Linked DNA regions of Arabidopsis thaliana. The protein of the gene in region 2 purifies or fractionates together with the protein of the main gene of each other region. This does not show direct contact. Each region holds a gene or a part of one and is shown on either strand. Other genes may lie near its edges. The genes, in order: AXL, AT2G19940 and AT3G25880.

Region 1 (7,103 bases), 5.1 Mb from region 2:
CAGTTGCTGCAAATGAGACAAGAGGAAAGTGGAGCCCTTTTGCAATATCGGAAATTGTATGAGCAACAGAGGATGAAATTGGACCGATCATAGCCACCACTTCTTTCTCAAGCAATTCAAAAGCTGCAAAACAAAAACCACTGAAGCTTAAACCAGGCCCTTAGTGGTAAAACCAAAGTTTTGTTTCCACTTATGTACAGGAAACACAGGTCCTAGTAACAGCCTGTTTAGGGTATGCGGTCTATATTGTTCTATGCATTATTAGCATTCGGAACCCAAAATATGTACCAATAAAAAACGGATTAAAACGTAAATCGATGTGCCAATCATTTCCAACTATCACAAAATGAAATATTGTTGCTACTGATGTGCATTGACCGCTTTCTATAATATGTTTGATATACTGTATCAGCCATGGATGAGTGTCACAAGTGTTTGAAACACAAAAGAACTAGAAGAACAGTCACGGTACCTCCAAAGGACCCACGAAAGACATTGCAGGCAGAATCCTCCATTAATAGCCGTAGCTCCGTTTCTTTGAGAAAGCTTTTATCATTGTTCACATCGGAAACAGCTGCCTCTAGAGCTACTTTTGCAGCTCTTCCGATAACCGAATCAAAAGCAAAAACAGCACCGATGTTCACCAGTTGAGGTCTTTGGCAATCCATTGGAACCACCAGAATGACCACAATCAGTGCCGTAATAGCGACAGATGGGTCAATGCCCAGTCCCATGGAGATAATGCAATCAAAGTAAGGACCACTTCAGATAGTTTGTGTTGGAACTAGAACCATCTCATTTAAATCTAGCAACTCTTCATTCAGCATTGAGGATGAGAAGATTAGAGAACTAAGCAAGGTAAAGTTTCCAACTTTGACCTGTAGAGTCAATGCGATTAGAAGACGAATCAAGATCTAAGCGAAGAGCAATCACAAGTCAAACCAAATTGATTATTTTAGCTGAAAACTAGCAACAATGTGGATATGAAGACTTATATACACAAACTCATCCGGACAGAAGAAAAATCTGAAAAAGAGTTTTTACAAATTCATTGAAATTAACAACAGTGAGACATTCTCTTTACCTCTTTGAGCTACCTTCTGGTTCTCTCTGCGGAATATACGCAAACACTTTGTAGGCATAAGTTAAAAAAGGGAAATTTTACGACAACGCAACGAATTTTTAACAAGAGAAGTCAAGAACTATCTTTTTTAAAAAACCATGATTTGACAGGAGATTACTAAAGGAAGAGAAACAAAACTAGAGAGATCAAATCATGCCCAGAAATTCATCCATCATTCTTCTTCTTCTGAGAACAAAATAGAAGAGAGAAATTGAAAAACGTGTGACTGAAGTGCTTTTTTGATTCGAGCTCACAAAGTCCTATCTAGTCTATATACTCTATAGTCACAGCAGCCGTTTGTTTGTATTTTTGTTTTCAGTGGGGCCCATCATTATTGGGCCCTACATGTAACGGCCCATTTTGTTAAGTTTATTTAAGATTAGATTACAATATAAATATTTTAATTGCCATGTGTTAATCATTTTATTTCTTCTCAAAAGTTTATTCTCTTAAGTTAATTTGTCAATGAAATGTTAATAGTATTTCATTTTATTTTTGCATAAAGAGAGACCCGTAGCAAGGCAAAATTTGAGTTGGCGTTTTTTATTCATAATAAAGATTTTTAGGCGGCAAAAAACTATTACATAATGAGATTTTATCACTTATTCATCTAATAATATTTAATTAAATTACATATGTGTTTTTTTCTAGCTATGTCATTTATTTTTACAATTTATATAAAATTTTGATATGTTTCCATGTATATATATATTTTAATAAATGAAAACTCAATCCAGAAAACATAAATTTTGATTTTATTTTAAATTATATGTTTTTATTTATAATTTGTTATCTCTTTTATACATTAAGGTGTTTTTGCAATAATACAGTCTTAATTTTTAAAAATTACAATTAAGCCCTAAACTTTGTAAATGTTCCAAATTAGGAAGGAAATAAAGAAAGGAGACAACTTAAGGTTCTCTTATTAAATGCCATTCCCTTTCTTTCTTACAAGTCACAACCTCTCTCTCTCTCTCTCTCTCTCTCTCTCTCTCTCTGCGTCTTTCTCTTTCTCTCTGTCTGAAGTTGAGAACACGAACCACTGAAAAACCCGCGAAAGACTCGAGCACGAACCAACAATGGCGGAACCCAAAACCAAGTATGATCGTCAGCTAAGGTGCACTCTTTCTCCTCCCAACTCTCTTTCTCTTCTTCAACTTCTCTGTCTCTTTCATCATTCTTCTTAATTTCGCTCAAATTGTGATGATTGGGGATAAATTCATAGGATTTGGGGAGAATTAGGTCAATCAGCTCTTGAAACCGCGAGCATATGTTTGCTCAATTGTGGTCCAACTGGCTCTGAGGCTCTAAAGAATCTTGTTATTGGTGGAATCGGAAGTATCACCATTGTCGACGGATCTAAAGTAGAAATTGGCGACCTTGGAAACAATTTCATGGGTATAATTCTCTCTTTTTCATCTTTCTTAAGCAATGCGTTTCTTCTATTTGCTGTTTATTGACATTTATTGATGATTGTTGTTGATGTTTCAGTGGATGCGAAGAGCGTTGGTCAGTCAAGAGCCAAAACGGTCTGTGGCTTTCTTCAGGAGCTTAACGATTCTGTTAAAGCAAATTTTGTTGAGGAGAATCCAGACACTTTGATATCGACAGACCCATCTTTCTTCTCTCAGTTCACTCTAGTTATCGCCACTCAGGTACATTATGTTGAGGATTAGATAGTTTCTAGTCTTTGTTTTCAGATTTTCACAGAGCGTTTGCCTTATTAGTTTGTCATGTGTTGATTGTAGCTAGTAGAAGATTCAATGGTGAAATTAGATAGAATCTGCCGGGAAGCAAACGTCATGTTGGTTTTGGCTCGCTCCTATGGACTTACTGGGTTTGTTCGTATCAGTGTAAAGGTAAGATTTTTGTGGATAGAGTGCTTTGTCACTTGTCATATGGTCTGTCTGCTAACTGCTATGTCATGTTCGCTCTTTCCTGTCAGGAACACACCGCTATTGAGACAAAGCCTGATCATTCTCTTGATGATCTCCGCTTGAATAGTCCATGGCCTGAGCTGAAGAGGTACTCTGCTTCAATCTTCTCACTCGTTATGTGTTCTTGCCATTCTTTAAACTTGTGTTTCAAATTACTTTTAATCTCCACAAACTTGCAACCAGTTGAAAGAAAATCTTATTTATTCAATGATCTGCAGCTATGTGGAGTCCATTGATCTAAATGTAGAAGAACCCGCTGCCCATAAGCACATTCCTTACGTCGTCATTCTAGTCAAGGTGGCTGAAGAATGGGCTCAACACCATAGCGGCAACCTTCCATCAACCAGGGAAGAGAAAAACGAGTTTAAGGTATCCTTACTTTTTGTTAATCAGCAAACAGTTATTAATCTTTGTTTTTCTTGTGATTCCTTGTCTTTATCTCTCTTACTCCTTGAAATTTTAGGACTTAGTTAAGTCCAAGATGGTATCAGCGGATGAAGAAAATTACAAAGAAGCCCTTCTTGCAGCTTTCAAAGTCTTTGCTCCTACAGGAATCAGTAAGTATACATACACCTCGTCTTGACATCGGTGGAAACTGGACTTTTAAATATATACTATAGATGCTGGAAATAAAGAAATTGGTTGGAGAATGGGAAAAACTGCAACGAGAACCAAATGGACAACTATCTACTATTTTCATGAAGCATGATTCATTGCTGCTCATTCATAACAGATCAGTTAACATTGGAGTTCAAAATATGAAGTCAGTTTTCACATTGAACTAAACATGTTTTCTTTTTCTCCAGGCCAAGAGATTCAAGACATTAATCATGATAGTTGTGCTGAAGTTGGCTCAAATTCCTCAGATTTTTGGGTAATGGTAGCAGCACTCAAGGTTTGTAACTTGAAAGACCTCACTTCAAAGCACATACTTCATATTGATATTTCAAACATGGAAGGGGTTGAGAACGTTTGTTGGGGTTTTAGTATTTTTTTGATCCAAGTTAGCTTTTTTTTCTGATTCCCATCAACATGGCTCAAATTCCTCAGATTTTTCTGATCCAAGTTAACCCTACTTATTATATGCATCATCTGCAGGAGTTTATTTCAAATGAAGGTGGTGGGGAGGTACCACTTGAAGGTTCCATGCCTGATATGATATCTTCCACAGAGTAAGTTCTCCTGTTCTTGCTTTTGTTTCATGGGAGGGATAAAATTCGTCCATCACCTTTATCAGATTACTATATAGCTGTATTGTATCTTTTGCAGGCACTACATCAATTTGCAGAAAATCTACCATTCCAAAGCGGAAGCTGATTTTCTTTCCATGGAACAGAGAGTAAAAAGTATTCTAGTTAAAGTTGGTCAGGATCCAAGTAGCATCTCAAAGCCAACTATCAAGAGCTTCTGCAAGAATGCACGAAAACTTAAAGTGAGAATGCTGAAATTTCTTACAATTTGATGTGTACTGTATCATTAAAACCGGGAATTGCGCCTTGTAGGTCTGCAGATATAGAACGATAGAAGACGAGTTCAAAAGTCCTTCTACAACAGAACTACATAAGTACTTGGCTGATGAGAATTACAGGTAAGAATGACTTCGTCAAAATTGATTCTTTTATACGACCATAGAGACTGTGATAACAAAAATATTACTGGAGTATATTTGTAGAACTGAAAAATAATATTTACAGTTGCAGCATTTTGGAGGCATGTTGCTGTTAGCTCTTAAGGGTCTTACCACTTTTCTGTTTATTCCTCTTGCAGTGGCGCAATTGGATTTTATATTCTTCTTAGAGCTGTTGATAGATTTGCTGGTACCTATAAGAAGTTTCCTGGACAGTTTGATGGGTAAGAGAACACATTCTGGCAAAATTTGATTGTATCTTGAATAATTTTGGCATTGTTAGGCCATTAACATGTCTCTTTTCTCATAGATCAACTGATGAGGACGCATCCCAGTTAAAGACTATTGCCCTGAGTCTTCTTAGTGAAATGGGTTGTGACGGCTATGAACTTCAGGAAGAACTGTACAATGAGATGTGTAGATTTGGTGCTGCAGAGATTCACGTGGTTGCTGCTTTAATAGGAGGAATCACATCTCAAGAAGTGATCAAGGTTCGTTTCATATCCATGTTGCTCAAAATGGTTACCCCGCAGTATCAAATAGGAGTGTGAAACAAACATTAACCTCTTTTATGGTTTGGCAATGTTTGCAGCTCATCACAAAGCAGTTTGTTCCCAAGCGAGGAACTTTCATCTTCAACGGCATTGATCACAAGTCTCAGTCTTTGACATTATAGAAGATTCTTAGACACTGGTGGCTGCAGAAGAACTCCAACATATCTTTTACCCTCACTTCAAGTTGAAACTTAACCTTTTCTTGGAGTTTTTATTCTGCTATACACCAGACTAACTAGATATCATTTCTTTGTAGAAACAGTTTCGAATTCCTCATGTATATTGATTGATTTTGAGCCGCGGTTCAAAACCGAAGAGCTCGCGTTAAGTGATGGGCATAGAGCCATTTTTGTATGACTTTCCTAAAGCAAAATTCTGGTATCGTTTCAAAATAGTCATATACTGCAATTTTAAAAGGATCAGACTTTTGGCTAAAACAAAGTACAGAGGTCTACAGAAGAATACAACAACAAACCACTGATGCGGTCGGGGGATTACAAAATAATCCTAGATTATGACAATCCAAAATTGACGAAACGGTAGAGATGGTACAGAAACAGACAAATCTACTCGGTGGAGAGTCTCTTTGTGGGATTGTAAACGCTGAATTCTCCAAAGTCTCTTCGGCCACTAGCAACAAAACAATCAAACCCTTGTAAAGAACAAGGTCCACATAAATTCACTTTTAGTAAATTCAAAGACTTTTGGTTCTCTAACACAAAAGTTGTTACTTGTCTCATGTCACAACAAGATATGATAAACATCCAAGTAGAACCTCAAGTTTATAATTAAAAAGAAGACGTAAATCTAAGGTTTACCTGTGACTAACATTCCAACCACCAGGTAAATGGCGAGGATGAACAGCATCAACAAACACTTTTCTCCACCTTTGACAGAAATCACGTACACCATCTTCTCCATGTTCCCTTAAAAGATATTCTACGATCTGTTTCCCGTGCGGTCCATGTCCTAACAAAGAGAGTTTGGAGTTTTGTTGGTGCAACGTATTCCCATTACACTGAGTATCATTTAGCTCTTTAGCTCCATCTCCTTCACTTGTACCATCACCACTATCATCAACAACTGTGCTCCTTTCTACAGTCATAATTTTCTCAAAATCTGCAAGAGCCTCCCCATCATTGTTTTCATCTAAAGATACGAAGTTGTTTGCATCAGTATTTCTGGATATCAAAGGATCATCATATCTTACACTTTATCAACCAACACAATTTTCAATGCTTATTATATGGTTACCTTCTTGTTTGTCCATACCAGCAACCTCTGCAGAATGTTTGAAGGAGACCCCTTTTTTCCTTTCGAGTTTTCTTCTTTCGTGAGGGCTCAATCCGATGAGTAAAGCTTTCTCTAAATCTTCTTCAGATAGGTCCCGTCCACCGTAATACATCTTCACAGTCTATATTCAGAATCCAAAAGAAAGTATCAATAACAGAATACTTGGTTCAAATCAATTTCTTGAAAGTTGAAATAGTTAGATGATCACATCACCTGCAACAATTCCTCACGGCGACTTGATGGCATTCTGTTCCCATGTCGCAAGAGCGCCATTGCAGCTGATCTAAGATGTAATGGGGAGACACCTGCATCCTCAGAGTCACCAGTTGATTCATCCTCCACTAAAGAAGACGTCCCTTGTGCTTCTTTTGAATCGAGTACTCTACGAACAAAAAGAGGAATTCCAAATTCCGTAGCGATTTGTTTCTTGTACCTCTCTGCAGCAGCATGTGCAACTTCATGACAATCCACACAAAGAAGAACAATGTCATGAGATCTATGACTTTTTAGGTGCTCAGGAAAATGAACTCTATAGCACGACGGTATTATTCGGTAACGGAGATAATGTT
Region 2 (6,735 bases):
AACTTATTCTGATTTTGCTCGTCAAGTGGTACCTTTAATGCATATGATTATGTAACGTGAGTTTAATCGTTATTCCTCTGACCTAGTAGGAGCATACAGAGCTGGAGAAACGATACCGTGAACTAACAGATTTACTGGTAACGTGAACTCTTGAATGTACTGATTCTATTAATCAAAGTCATATTGGGAAGTTGTCTGATAGCTTCTGGCCACGGGTTTTAATTCAGTACTATAAGCAAACACAACTAGAGACTATGGCGAGTGAGAAGGCTGCAGCAGAGTTTCAGTTGGAAAAAGAGGTCAAACGTCTTCATGAAGCACAGGTCCGTCGTCAAAGCTCTCTATGGTTCATATATGTACCTTTACTTTTCCATGATACTTACAAGAAAGGTTCTAAACTTGTTGATTCAGGTAGAGGTAGAAAAAAGTAGAGTTTCGCGACGCGCATCAGCAACTTGGGAAGAAGATTCTGAGATTAAGACACTTGAGTATGTCTTTTAGCTATGTTCTAATGTGATTTATGATATATATATATCTGCTGAGTTTGTTGTTCGATACTTACAAAATACCATTTCAGGCCTCTTCCATTGTATCACAGACACATGGCTACAGCGAGCACACAGGTAGAGATTTGGGAGCCCATTACGAATTGTCGGCGTTCTCTTTTAACTTTACTCTTATGTTTGCTTTGTTCGCCTTCTGTCTTCAGTTGCAGAATGCAGTGAAACTGTTAGACTCAGGAGCTGTAAGGGCCACTAGGTTCCTTTGGCGGTACCCAATAGCACGGATGTTCCTACTTTTTTACCTTGTAAGGCGCTCGCTTATTTCAATCTCATTCGCCTTACTTGTGAATTTATGGAACATTAAGCTGACATCATTTATGAATTTGCAGGTCTTTGTTCATCTCTTCTTGATGTATCTAATACACCGACTCCAGGTATGCTTGGTCATTTTACATTGAAAATCACATCACAGTCATGGAACTCAACTTGTTGTCGTTCCTAAATCTCGTGTAGGAGCAAGCCGAGGCCCAGGAAGTTGCGGCAATGACCAACAACGTTTTCAGACTATAACAGATTCCATAAGAAAGCAACACATGGTGGTTTTAAGAGATTGCTGAGTAATGTGGAAGAAAGAAGCATAACTATGGATTATAGAGAAGACTTTTAAAACTTTATATATATAGAGGCTGCTTCTTACGATATTCCAATCTAACCTGTTGGTATGTGAAGAACATAATGTTGGTAAATGGGGTTTATACACACTTGATTGATAGGCATGGTTGGTTTTAAAAGCATTTGAATATATATCTGTTGAGCCTATTAAAGTTCGGTTTACTTATTTTCTCTGACGCCCGAACTCGGTTTAGTTTTGGTCACCCTAAGCTGAATATGTATTTTGGCCACCGCCACATCCAACAATCTGTAATAGAATAAGTTCAACTTTCTTTTGTGACTCAAACGAAAATTGCAATTCAGAAAATAGAGATAACAAGAATAAAGGTTCATCAAAACCTTAATAAACAAACAACAAAACCATTTATTTGTAATGGTAAAAGAAGAGGCTTTATTGTCTATAAATATGAATCATATAACCAACCATCTTTATGCTTAACATTGCCGTCTCAACAGCTTCAGATTGGTCATCTGAAGATAGGAATAAAGACAAACGCTTAAGCAGGCAAATCTAATGACAGAAATATCTTCAAGATACAGAGCCAACAAGAGAGAAGAATGCTATTTTACCGATTTAAAGGTGGGATTTTTAAGGGAAAAGCGGCTGGTGTAGGAGCCCCGTTGTTTCGGGATATCCCAACATTATGTTAAGATTCTGCAACGCTTGTCCCGAAGCTCCTTTCACAAGATTATCAATCTGCAACACCAGAGAGCTTTTTATACACAAAGCAATATTGTCGAAAGCTAAAGATGAGTTTATAACAGAGGATGGTTATGCTTAATTACCACTGAGATTATGATAGCTCTTCCAGGAATTCGATCAGGAAAGACACTCATATGACAATAGTTGGATCCTCTAACGTTGTGTGTCCGAGGAACAACTCCTTCATCCAACACTTTGACAAATTCTTCATCCTACAAAACATTTTTGAAACATAATAAGTAACAAAAGTAGTAATTGGCTTACAACATAAGAGTAATCATCACCTCATAAGACGTCTTCAATTGCTGGTGTAAATCTTCGGTTCTAACCCCGGGAGCCATTTCCACATATATAGTCGATTGCATTCCACGGATCTACCCAAACAACTGAGGATCAGTTAATGGGTTTAAGGTTAAAAATTATAGAAATCATGCTAAGATTATTTGTACCATTGGCATGAGATGTGGCGTAAAACTGACTGTTACTTTTGACTGTGCAACATCAGATAATCCCTGTTCAATTTCAGGAACTGCAAAACAAAAGAGATATTGAATTCAAATCATGGCAAAATTTTAACTCATTGTGATAATTAGTTTGTGACATACCATGGCGATGACGGGTGACACCATAAGAAGAAATGCCTTCAGCTATCTCAGAGTAAAGATTTGCCTCCTTAGCACCACGTCCTGATGAAAATTTCATATCAGTCAAGAAACTAGAAACATTGCATCATTGTTCATTGATCACGGAGTAAGCTCAAACCTGCTCCACTAACACCAGATTTTGCATCGATAATGATGTTTTCATGTTTGATGAGATTTGCCTGCACCAAAATCAACACATTGAGTAGAGAGACGGAAGACTAGGCAGTTAAGTAAAATCGCATACCAGAAAAGAATAGAAAAACAAACCTTTAGTAAAGGAACAAGAGGAAGTTGAATCGTAGTCGGGTAACAGCCTGGGTTAGCCACAAGTCGTGCCTTTTTTATGTCCTCCCTTAGTATCTCTGTTAGACCATACACAACTTCTTTCTGAACCCCGTAGGACACTTGGTAAGTATAACCATTATGAACACAACAGACCTAAAATCAAGGAATAACATTGAGAGAAATGTACCTGTAACTCTACTGCCTTGTGAGGCTGACCATACCATTCTTCATATTCTGCAATATTACGCAACCGGAAGTCCTGAAAAGCGTATTTTAGATGGGCTTATAACTGAAAGAAAAGGAACAAAAAAAAAACAGTTCTTCAAGGATTACCGCTGAAAGATCAACGATTTTCAATGCAGTAGGCAGTTCCTTGATGATTTCCTGTTGAAATACACACTCATTTCCGTTAAGCTAAGAAAAGCTTTAAGAAATTGAAATGGAAGAATGAAAGGAAAATGAACCTGAGTTGTTCCGTGAGGTAAACAGCAGAATACAGCATCCACAGTAGAAAAATCTGCATCCTTTACCGAGACCAAAGTAGGTAGTTTCTGTGGACAGTAAAGGTTCAATTATTAATCAATATACACCATCACAAAGTAACATTGAACAGATTCATTTCTTGGTATATTACTAGGGATAGAAATCACTTATACTTGAGCTCTCAGGTGTGGGAAAACGCTTTCCATTGACTGGCCAGCTTTTCTATCAGCAGTCATCAAAGTGACCTGGAAATGCGGATGATTTGCAAGAAGCCTAACGATCTGCAATTCAATAAAGAAGAGTAAACTTACCATCTCATGGGTTTGAATGAAACCTTGAATGCCTCATCCATTCTTTCCCTTGTAATTTTAAACAACTTTAAAGCAACGACTATAAGACTTTTCTCTTCCTTTTATCGAGAAAAGATTAACTTTGCATATGTTTACAGCTTAAGCTAAATTAGAAGGCCAATACCCAAAAAGTCAAAAACTTGCAACAAGATGCATACCACTTAAGCTCTGATTCATTGCAAAACCAAAGAGATCACTAAAACAAACAATTCCAAGAAAATTAAACTTGAAACAGACAGATTCAACATTGCACAAACCTCAGCACCAGTGTAGCCACTTGCACCAAGAAGACCAATCCTAATATCCTTTTCAGGTTTAACAGAACTACTAGCTGAAACTCTGAAGCTCATTGAAGATGGCGAAGCCACATGGGATCCCAAAGTAAGCCTCTTGGCTCGCTTATCCGCTACACAATTTTCCTTTCGCCCTTTTCAAAACAAAGAAAACCCACATTTACATGATTATCAGATTGCAATAACACAACACAAGCTACAATGAGCTTGAATGTGGATTCAGTGGGAAAAAAAACAGAGATTTTGAAGAGTTTTAGGAATTGACCTTGAACCAGCATCCTTGGATTGAACTAAAAGCCGACGCAGTACTCATTATTGGATTCGATTCTGCAAAAAACAAAATTCAGGAACAAAAAAAGACTAATCTTTTTGCTAAGAACAAGAAGAAATTAGCTTCTCTCAATGTGATTTGATATTGAGAGTCAATTATGGTAGTGATGAAACAAATACCCGTAAACTCTTCGTCACTCTCTCTCTCTATACGAAGTGGTCGGAGAAGTTCGACGGAGAAGAAGACAGCAGAAAACCACGACAAAGATTGTGGGACGAAAACGCAAGAACGACGACGTTTCAGCTAGCCCTACTTAAAACCTATCAAAGCGGTGCCGTTTCAGGGATCGAACCCGTTTACTGAACAGGCTACCCGTGGTTCAACCCGGTTTATCGACGAATTAATCGTTTGCAGAAAACGCGATATGTCTTGGCGTTTGCATCGGGTGACGACAAAAATCTGGCATTTTGGTAATTCCCAGACTAAGAGTAAAGGCATTCATGTCAATTACTTGAGTAAGCGCCGAAGCGGTTAGATGAATTTGTTTCAATGGAGTCAAAAGAAAATCTAGAGAAAAAGCTCCGACCTTTTTATTTCCTCTCTGTTTCTTCTTGTGTCATCGTCAAATCAAATCCAATCACTAACAGTAGAAACTGTTTCTCTACTGGGTATTTTTTTTTGGCAACCCTTAAATTCTGAAGTAAGAGAGAAGAAGAAGAAAGTGTGAGATTCCGACGAACGGGAAGAAAAATGATAAATTTTCGCAGCATGAATCAAGCTTCTTCGAGGATAAGGATCGCTCTTTCGGGTCGGATTGAAACAGCTTTAGAGAATATCTACAGAAAACACAATCTTACTCCGATTAATGATGAGACGAGACAGAGACTGTCTTCGATTCCTGAGAATTTGGGTTTTGAGTTGGTCAGGAAAGTTTTTAGTTTGCAGGCTGGTTTGATATACAACCTCGACAGCTTCATCGTTTCTAAGGTTAACCAAGCCGTTAGTTTTACTGGCTATCCACAGCCGGCGAACTCTCTTAGCCCCTCTGGAAGACACGTGTCCAGGGTTCTTCAAGGTTAGTATCAGAAACAAACTCTCTTTGCTTGTGAAAATGTGAATTTGGATAGTAAAAATCTTTACTTTTCTTATGATTGTTGGCGATTGCAGAAGAGATGTCTGTTGATTCTGATGCTCCTTCTCCTAAGTCTTTGAAAAGTGAAGACAAAGGAGGATCTCTGCACATTCCCCAGCTGGTAGCTTTGGGTGAACTTGAATTTAAGAAGGTGTTTTTGTTACTTAGCTATATTCCAGGGTAATGTTTGTTATGCAAGTTTCCCAATTTCTTACATCTCTATATTCTCTTATCCACCTATTGTAATTGTTTGGTTTTGATGGTGACAATTACCTCTTTTGGTGATGCTTAACTTTTTCTTTATTTGATGTTATACAGGCAACATGTGGGCCAGGTTATAACTGCTGATGAGATTAGACTGTGGAAAGATTTGCCAATGGTTGAATATGAAGCAGCGGTTTGGGACCGCTTGGGCCGGCATTATTGTCCCCAAAAGGACCGAAGAATGGTATTGTTCTATTCTATTGGGTTTTGTTTATATTTTCATGTTTGCGTTTCTGAAGGTAATTTTACAAGAAGTTGAGTTTGGTATCAAAGTTGTATTAACTGCATTTTCTATCATGCTTCATTTCCCCAGTTGCAATGGGATAGCGGGAAGACCCATTACTATCAGTGTAATGTTGCTCCCAATGGTAGCTACACATTCAAGGTTCTTTCAGCTCTTCAAGTACTATCTTTTCTGTTTGCTTTTTCCATTAGGCATATGTACTTTGTGTAATATTTTTGATTCAAGCTGTAGAAGAAATTCTTTGTAAGTCGCTATCATATGTCTATAAAACAATTGATATGTCTATCAAACATTGCACCTTGACATTGACTCAATATACTTATCGACACACTGTGTTCACAGGGCCCTCTTCTTGAACACACTGGAACACACTTGCACAAGGTCTTGGGTGATGATAATGTTTTAACCGTCAAATTCGCGGATGTCCAGAAAAGTTCATCAACATATAGCATTGACCATTACTTTACATACAAAGGGATTGCCAAGAACGGTATCATGATTGGTTTACGTCGTTATCAATTTTTTGGTGGGCATTGTTTTCCCTTTTTCTCTTGATTAACTACCATTTATGTCGTTACACATACAAAACTATTTATTGTAATGTTGCTAAGCTATACACATATCATACTTCTGCTTTAGATTTAGAACCTGATATTGTAGCTCTTTGTGACATTCTATTGAACAGTTTTCAAAGATGGAGGAAAAGAGGAAAAGAAGAAAGATCTTTCTACAAAGAAAGTGAAATGCTACTTTATACGCACGGACTCAACAGCTTTTTATGATATGCAAAATCCCTATATTTTAACCGGAAAGTCAATTTATGAAGCTCGTATGCATTTTATGCACGTGCATCGAGCACCAACTTTGGCGAATTATATGGCAAGGTACTTT
Region 3 (4,660 bases), on a different chromosome or scaffold from region 2:
GTCATATTAAAATGGATGGATGTGATTCACACTTGCACAATTCTCGTCTTGCGCTAAATTTCTGTCCAATTTCGTCTGCCAACCTACAACTTACAAGGTCCAAAAGCCCTTTAATATAATTACGCATTATTAGTATTTTCCAATGTCAAGAAAACAATAAATGGACTATAACTCTCTGCTTAATGCCTAAAGGGCTAGAACAATTAGTCAATTAGTGGATAGACGATTTTTTAGAGGTTTAAATAGTTTTCAAATAAAAATAAAATATATTTCTGTATTAATATAACATAATAAAAACAAGTTAATAGAAATAAATTGTATATTTTAAATTAATCAAAATACATAAGCAAGAAATATGAGTATTCAGTATTCACTAATTTTAAAATACATAAATTTAAAAGCATTAGGCTAAATTCACCTATCTTACCAAAATCTATCTAATACAATTAATCTGCATGATAACTGGATAATCTGCTAAATCTAACTAGCTACTTAAGAGGTGGTGATCTACGCCTAGAACGTCTAATCATGATTTAGGAGATTTTAAGCGGCTACACATTTACAACATAACATATTATAAATATTATATTATAAATAAAATTCATAGAAAACTATCTCTTAGAAAAATAAAAATATGAAATTATAAACAAAACTTAGATAAAACCATTTATAATTCATAGCAAACAATATATACAAAGCTAAAACTTATAATTTAAATTGATATAGTTGGAAACAAACAATATATACAAAGCTAAAACTTATAATTTAAATTTATATAGTTGGAAACAAACAATATATACAAAGCTAAAACTTATAATTTAAATTTATATAGTTGAAAACTAAAAAATAAACTAAAATAAAACTTATGGAATTTTAGACAGCCAAAACGGTTATTTAGATATCACATAAACGTCTAAAATCTAGATGACGATCAACTAGGGATGTCAGACGGGCGAGCACGCGACCAAATGGGGGGTCCGTGATGGCCCGTGCTTCTTTTCCATAAGTGGTGGTCCGGTCCGCCAACGACCACATGCGACCAATCGAAGCCCATATTCGCCTCGCAATGTCCATTGGTCTAACGGTCTGGCCCGCAATCCTGTTCTGTTCTAGTTGTCTCTGAAACACACTGTGTTGTTCTCGTCTCTGAAACACAGTGTTGTTCTCGTCTCTGAAACCTTCGCTTATGGAGAACTTCTGTTCTATTGCATGCCTTTGAAGACAAGAGACTTTGACCGTAATAAATGGTTATTCCACAAGTTTTGTAATTCTGTGTTATCACCAAACACAAACTGTTCAGTCTACTCCATCGTTAATATCTAGGTTCACCATTGAATCTTCCACCAGCTATAACCAAACAACGACGAAAAAGAGATGTCATAACTATTTAACTACACAAATAGCATCTAAAAATAGCAACAAAAAAAATCAAAAACTAGTCATTACTTAGTACCTATGAAATTGTTTCCAAATGTCTCCAATTAGAACCTTGGATCCTTCAACGATGGTGATACTACCAACACCACCAAGGACGAGATTCTTCAAGGCATTGGAACCAATAGGACCACAATTGAGTAAACAGATACTCGCTTCTTCCAAAGTCCCTTGACTTCACCTCAAAATCCTAATCAATCAACGATTACTTCATAAAATTTCCTCCCAACAAGATTCGTTCGAAGATCGATAGAATAATACAAATGTAGAGTTCGAAGAGACTAACATAGTATACATGAGTTGACGATCGTACTTGGCTTTAGGTTCCATCATTGTTAGAGATGAGAGATCATATGTTCGTAAGTCGTAAACAGAGGAAGAAGAACAAGCGCGTCGTCCACAAGTCCGCAGACATTAATAGATAAACCATGACTAATCCACAATCCAAAGTTCCAAACGCACCCAACCCGCAATGCCCGCTCTTTTTTTGGACTCCCTTATACAGGCCCATACCTACTCTGCAATATTACTAAACGGGCCAGGCAAAGGCCCAATTGATATCTTTACCATCAACACTTTTTTAAAACATTGATTTTAGTAAAATTTATGTTGTTTAGGAACGTCAAACGCTTAAATAGCTTTTGTTTGACTTGTAGTTTTGCAAATATATAACTTCTCTTTTGACGTATAAAATAAAACTGAAGAATCTGAAATTTGGATAACATGTTAATAATCTTCTTTTACCATTTTTTTCAAAAGTATTGTAGTTAAAAAAAAATTGATTATTGTAAGAAGGGGAAAAACATGAAGGACTACAAGTCTACAACGATAAACTAACGCTGTCTGGTTCCGGTTTACAGTTCAGATCCAAACCCAAACCCTGTAACCCGACCCGATTAATCTCATCGAATTCTCCGTCTCGAACGCCGTTACAATCCAACGAGTTTCTCAACCCAAGATTCTGACTCCGTTTCCTCTTCTTAGACGGTAACTCTCCCTCAGCAACACCGCCGTTAACTTTCGCAACCGTTCGTGTCGCCACGTGTACTCTCCGTAATATCTTGAAAAACTCATCCACCTCTTCCTCCGTTACCGTCCGAACAACTTCCGTCGACGGTTTCCCTCTGTTACCGTCAGATTTTCCGTTATCTTCTTCTACGCGTTCTTCTTTCTTCAAAGAGTTGTTCATGTTAGCCAGAAGAAAATGTTAACGGCGTCGTTTAAGCTTAGTCAAGAAAAAATTATTTGCTGATTTTATTTTGCTAAAATTTATAATGAAACTCTTATAGCCGTCGGTGTGGAACTTAGACGGTCGATATTGTCAACAACTAAATAAATTGGACGGTGGAGATTGATGCTAATGACATCATCATGCGATGTTTTAAAGCGTAAGTATCATGACGTCACACTTTATTGACTTTTGGAATAAAGGAAGTCCATGTGTGGAAAAATTGGTATCGGCTATATTTTTAGAGTATATGTAAGAAATAACTTTTGACTTCAAAAGAATACACAAAATAACCTTGGACCAAATAGTATTTGTCGGCTACAGAAATTTTGGCAATAGTTAGTCTATTTTAGCCTTTCTCTTTCTTCTTCCTTCTTTTGTTTCTTTTTCATCTTCTTTACGAGACTTTAGCCATGGAGTTCTCTTTCTCTCTTCATCTTTAACACAATTCATCTTCTTCAGATTCACCATGTCATTTTCTTTTTCTATTTCTCTCTCCCTCTCCTAAAATAATCTTCACCACCTCTCATAAAATATATCATCATATCTCTTTATTTTGTTCACCTACATGTTCTCTCTTTCTTTTTCCATAGAAATCTCTCTATCTCTCATTCTTTATTTTCTCTTTTTACCTGAATTTTCCGTCAATGTCGTTGTGATATAAGAGATTAGATTTGATTTTAAAACAAATGTCTGATTTTAAAATGCATGTATTTTAAGAACAAAACATGTTATTAACACTGATATATTAATATTTGTCATGCTATCCAATAAAAACTCATGAAATAAATAAATATTTGTCATGTTATCCAATAAAAACCCATGTAATATTGTAACAATTCTATATGTTTTTTTAAACTTCGCGATCTATAAGAGAATTGCATGCTTTTTATAAATATTTCGTGCTATTTCTGAGAAACACATTATTTCAGAGAAACATATATATCGTGTATATATATTCTGTATGTATTTTAAAGAATTGCATGATTTTTGTAAATATATCATGCTATTTTAGACAAATACATATAAACTTTATAACTAAAGCCAATGGCATTATTGTAAAAATAAGTAAACACAAGGATATTTTTGTATTTTCTCTTTTTCAGAAAATGTTATTTACCTAACTTTTCTGACACAATGTCATTCTCTCAATTCTTTTCCATTTCATAGTTAGTTTCTAATATTACCCATATTTTTATATACATAGAGATCTATATTTTTATAATTTAACAAAGACCAAAAAAATTTGGCCAAACAACAAATAAATAAGGAAGACTAAGAACTTGTGAATTGTGATCATCGTTAACGTGGGGAAGATTTTCTTGCGATTATTATTCCTAGTCTTATTTATTTATTTATTTCCACTATCAATTTAAAATGACACGTAAATTTGTAATGATTTTTCGAATAATGTAAGCACTAATTGATATTGGTGTTTTAACTTTTAACAAAAGAAAACAAAGATCTACATATGGGCCTAAAGTAAAAGCCTTTTAGTTAAGTACATTATAATTGGGCTTTATATCTTAACAACGTCGAATCAATTGTAGGGCCGACGTGGGCGGCTAAGCTGTTTCCAACTTTCCAACTTCCGACCAGCTCCACTTGTGTCTTTCGCTCTCTCTACACTTATGTTTTTTTTTTTTCAACTCTCTGTTTTGTCTGACGTGTCCACTTACTAATAATTTTTGAAAAAACTTTCCACATATAAAAATTGCTTGATGGTCGTCGTCGATGGCTGCATTATTTATGAATGTATTAGTCCACATGGTGAAATGTCTACATTTTAAACACCACGTGACACTGATAATCCGACACTTGTATGTGTGAAATCAATGTAATGATCCCTTACTCTTTCTTTTTTGTTTTTCTTTCAATAGAACAAAAATATTGCGAATTTATCTAATAATGTTTCTGTAATACTAAAATTATTTTAAAAGTTTTTATTTAATATATTGTTAATTTGTCTAAATTTTGTCACGACCGTTTTTCTTCATG

Evidence for each region.
Region 1: the proteins of AT2G19940 (region 2) and AXL fractionate together in Arabidopsis thaliana (co-fractionation; one large-scale study listed by BioGRID). This does not show direct contact.
Region 3: the proteins of AT2G19940 (region 2) and AT3G25880 fractionate together in Arabidopsis thaliana (co-fractionation; one large-scale study listed by BioGRID). This does not show direct contact.

What each region holds. Positions count from the first base shown.
Region 1 is NC_003071.7:13,755,500-13,762,602, forward strand, and holds AXL (AXR1-like protein), read left to right. Parts: upstream 1-2,093; 5' UTR 2,094-2,202; coding exon 2,203-2,240; intron 2,241-2,348; coding exon 2,349-2,521; intron 2,522-2,614; coding exon 2,615-2,778; intron 2,779-2,871; coding exon 2,872-2,982; intron 2,983-3,068; coding exon 3,069-3,148; intron 3,149-3,278; coding exon 3,279-3,429; intron 3,430-3,523; coding exon 3,524-3,617; intron 3,618-3,866; coding exon 3,867-3,955; intron 3,956-4,158; coding exon 4,159-4,232; intron 4,233-4,329; coding exon 4,330-4,492; intron 4,493-4,562; coding exon 4,563-4,648; coding exon of another isoform or gene 4,649-4,652; exon of another isoform or gene 4,653-4,754; coding exon of another isoform or gene 4,755-4,785; exon of another isoform or gene 4,786-4,827; coding exon 4,828-4,911; intron 4,912-4,997; coding exon 4,998-5,178; intron 5,179-5,279; coding exon 5,280-5,363; 3' UTR 5,364-5,653; downstream 5,654-7,103. Other genes in the region: GLR5 (glutamate receptor 5), read right to left, coding at 1-123, 473-734; AT2G32415 (Polynucleotidyl transferase, ribonuclease H fold protein with HRDC domain-containing protein), read right to left, coding at 5,808-5,871, 6,060-6,390, 6,496-6,655, 6,748-7,103. UniProt on the Arabidopsis thaliana protein: Regulatory subunit of the dimeric ECR1-AXL1 E1 enzyme.
Region 2 is NC_003071.7:8,610,679-8,617,413, reverse strand, and holds AT2G19940 (Putative N-acetyl-gamma-glutamyl-phosphate reductase), read right to left. Parts: upstream 4,489-6,735; 5' UTR 4,384-4,488; intron 4,381-4,383; exon of another isoform or gene 4,261-4,380; 5' UTR 4,247-4,260; coding exon of another isoform or gene 4,212-4,246; coding exon 4,199-4,211; intron 4,068-4,198; coding exon 3,898-4,067; intron 3,572-3,897; coding exon 3,464-3,571; intron 3,359-3,463; coding exon 3,272-3,358; intron 3,192-3,271; coding exon 3,141-3,191; intron 3,067-3,140; coding exon 2,995-3,066; intron 2,910-2,994; coding exon 2,790-2,909; intron 2,702-2,789; coding exon 2,641-2,701; intron 2,565-2,640; coding exon 2,484-2,564; intron 2,408-2,483; coding exon 2,328-2,407; intron 2,253-2,327; coding exon 2,163-2,252; intron 2,091-2,162; coding exon 1,962-2,090; intron 1,873-1,961; coding exon 1,765-1,872; 3' UTR 1,297-1,764; downstream 1-1,296. Other genes in the region: GC1 (golgin Putative 1), read left to right, coding at 90-137, 228-323, 412-488, 578-623, 710-808, 893-937, 1,017-1,073; AT2G19930 (RNA-dependent RNA polymerase family protein), read left to right, coding at 4,955-5,279, 5,372-5,516, 5,655-5,784, 5,914-5,985, 6,187-6,370, 6,530-6,728.
Region 3 is NC_003074.8:9,468,267-9,472,926, forward strand, and holds AT3G25880 (NAD(P)-binding Rossmann-fold superfamily protein), read right to left. Parts: upstream 1,768-4,660; coding exon 1,721-1,767; intron 1,610-1,720; coding exon 1,454-1,609; coding exon of another isoform or gene 1,447-1,453; exon of another isoform or gene 1,348-1,446; coding exon 1,326-1,347; 3' UTR 839-1,325; downstream 1-838. Other genes in the region: NIMIN-2 (NIM1-interacting 2), read right to left, coding at 2,255-2,623.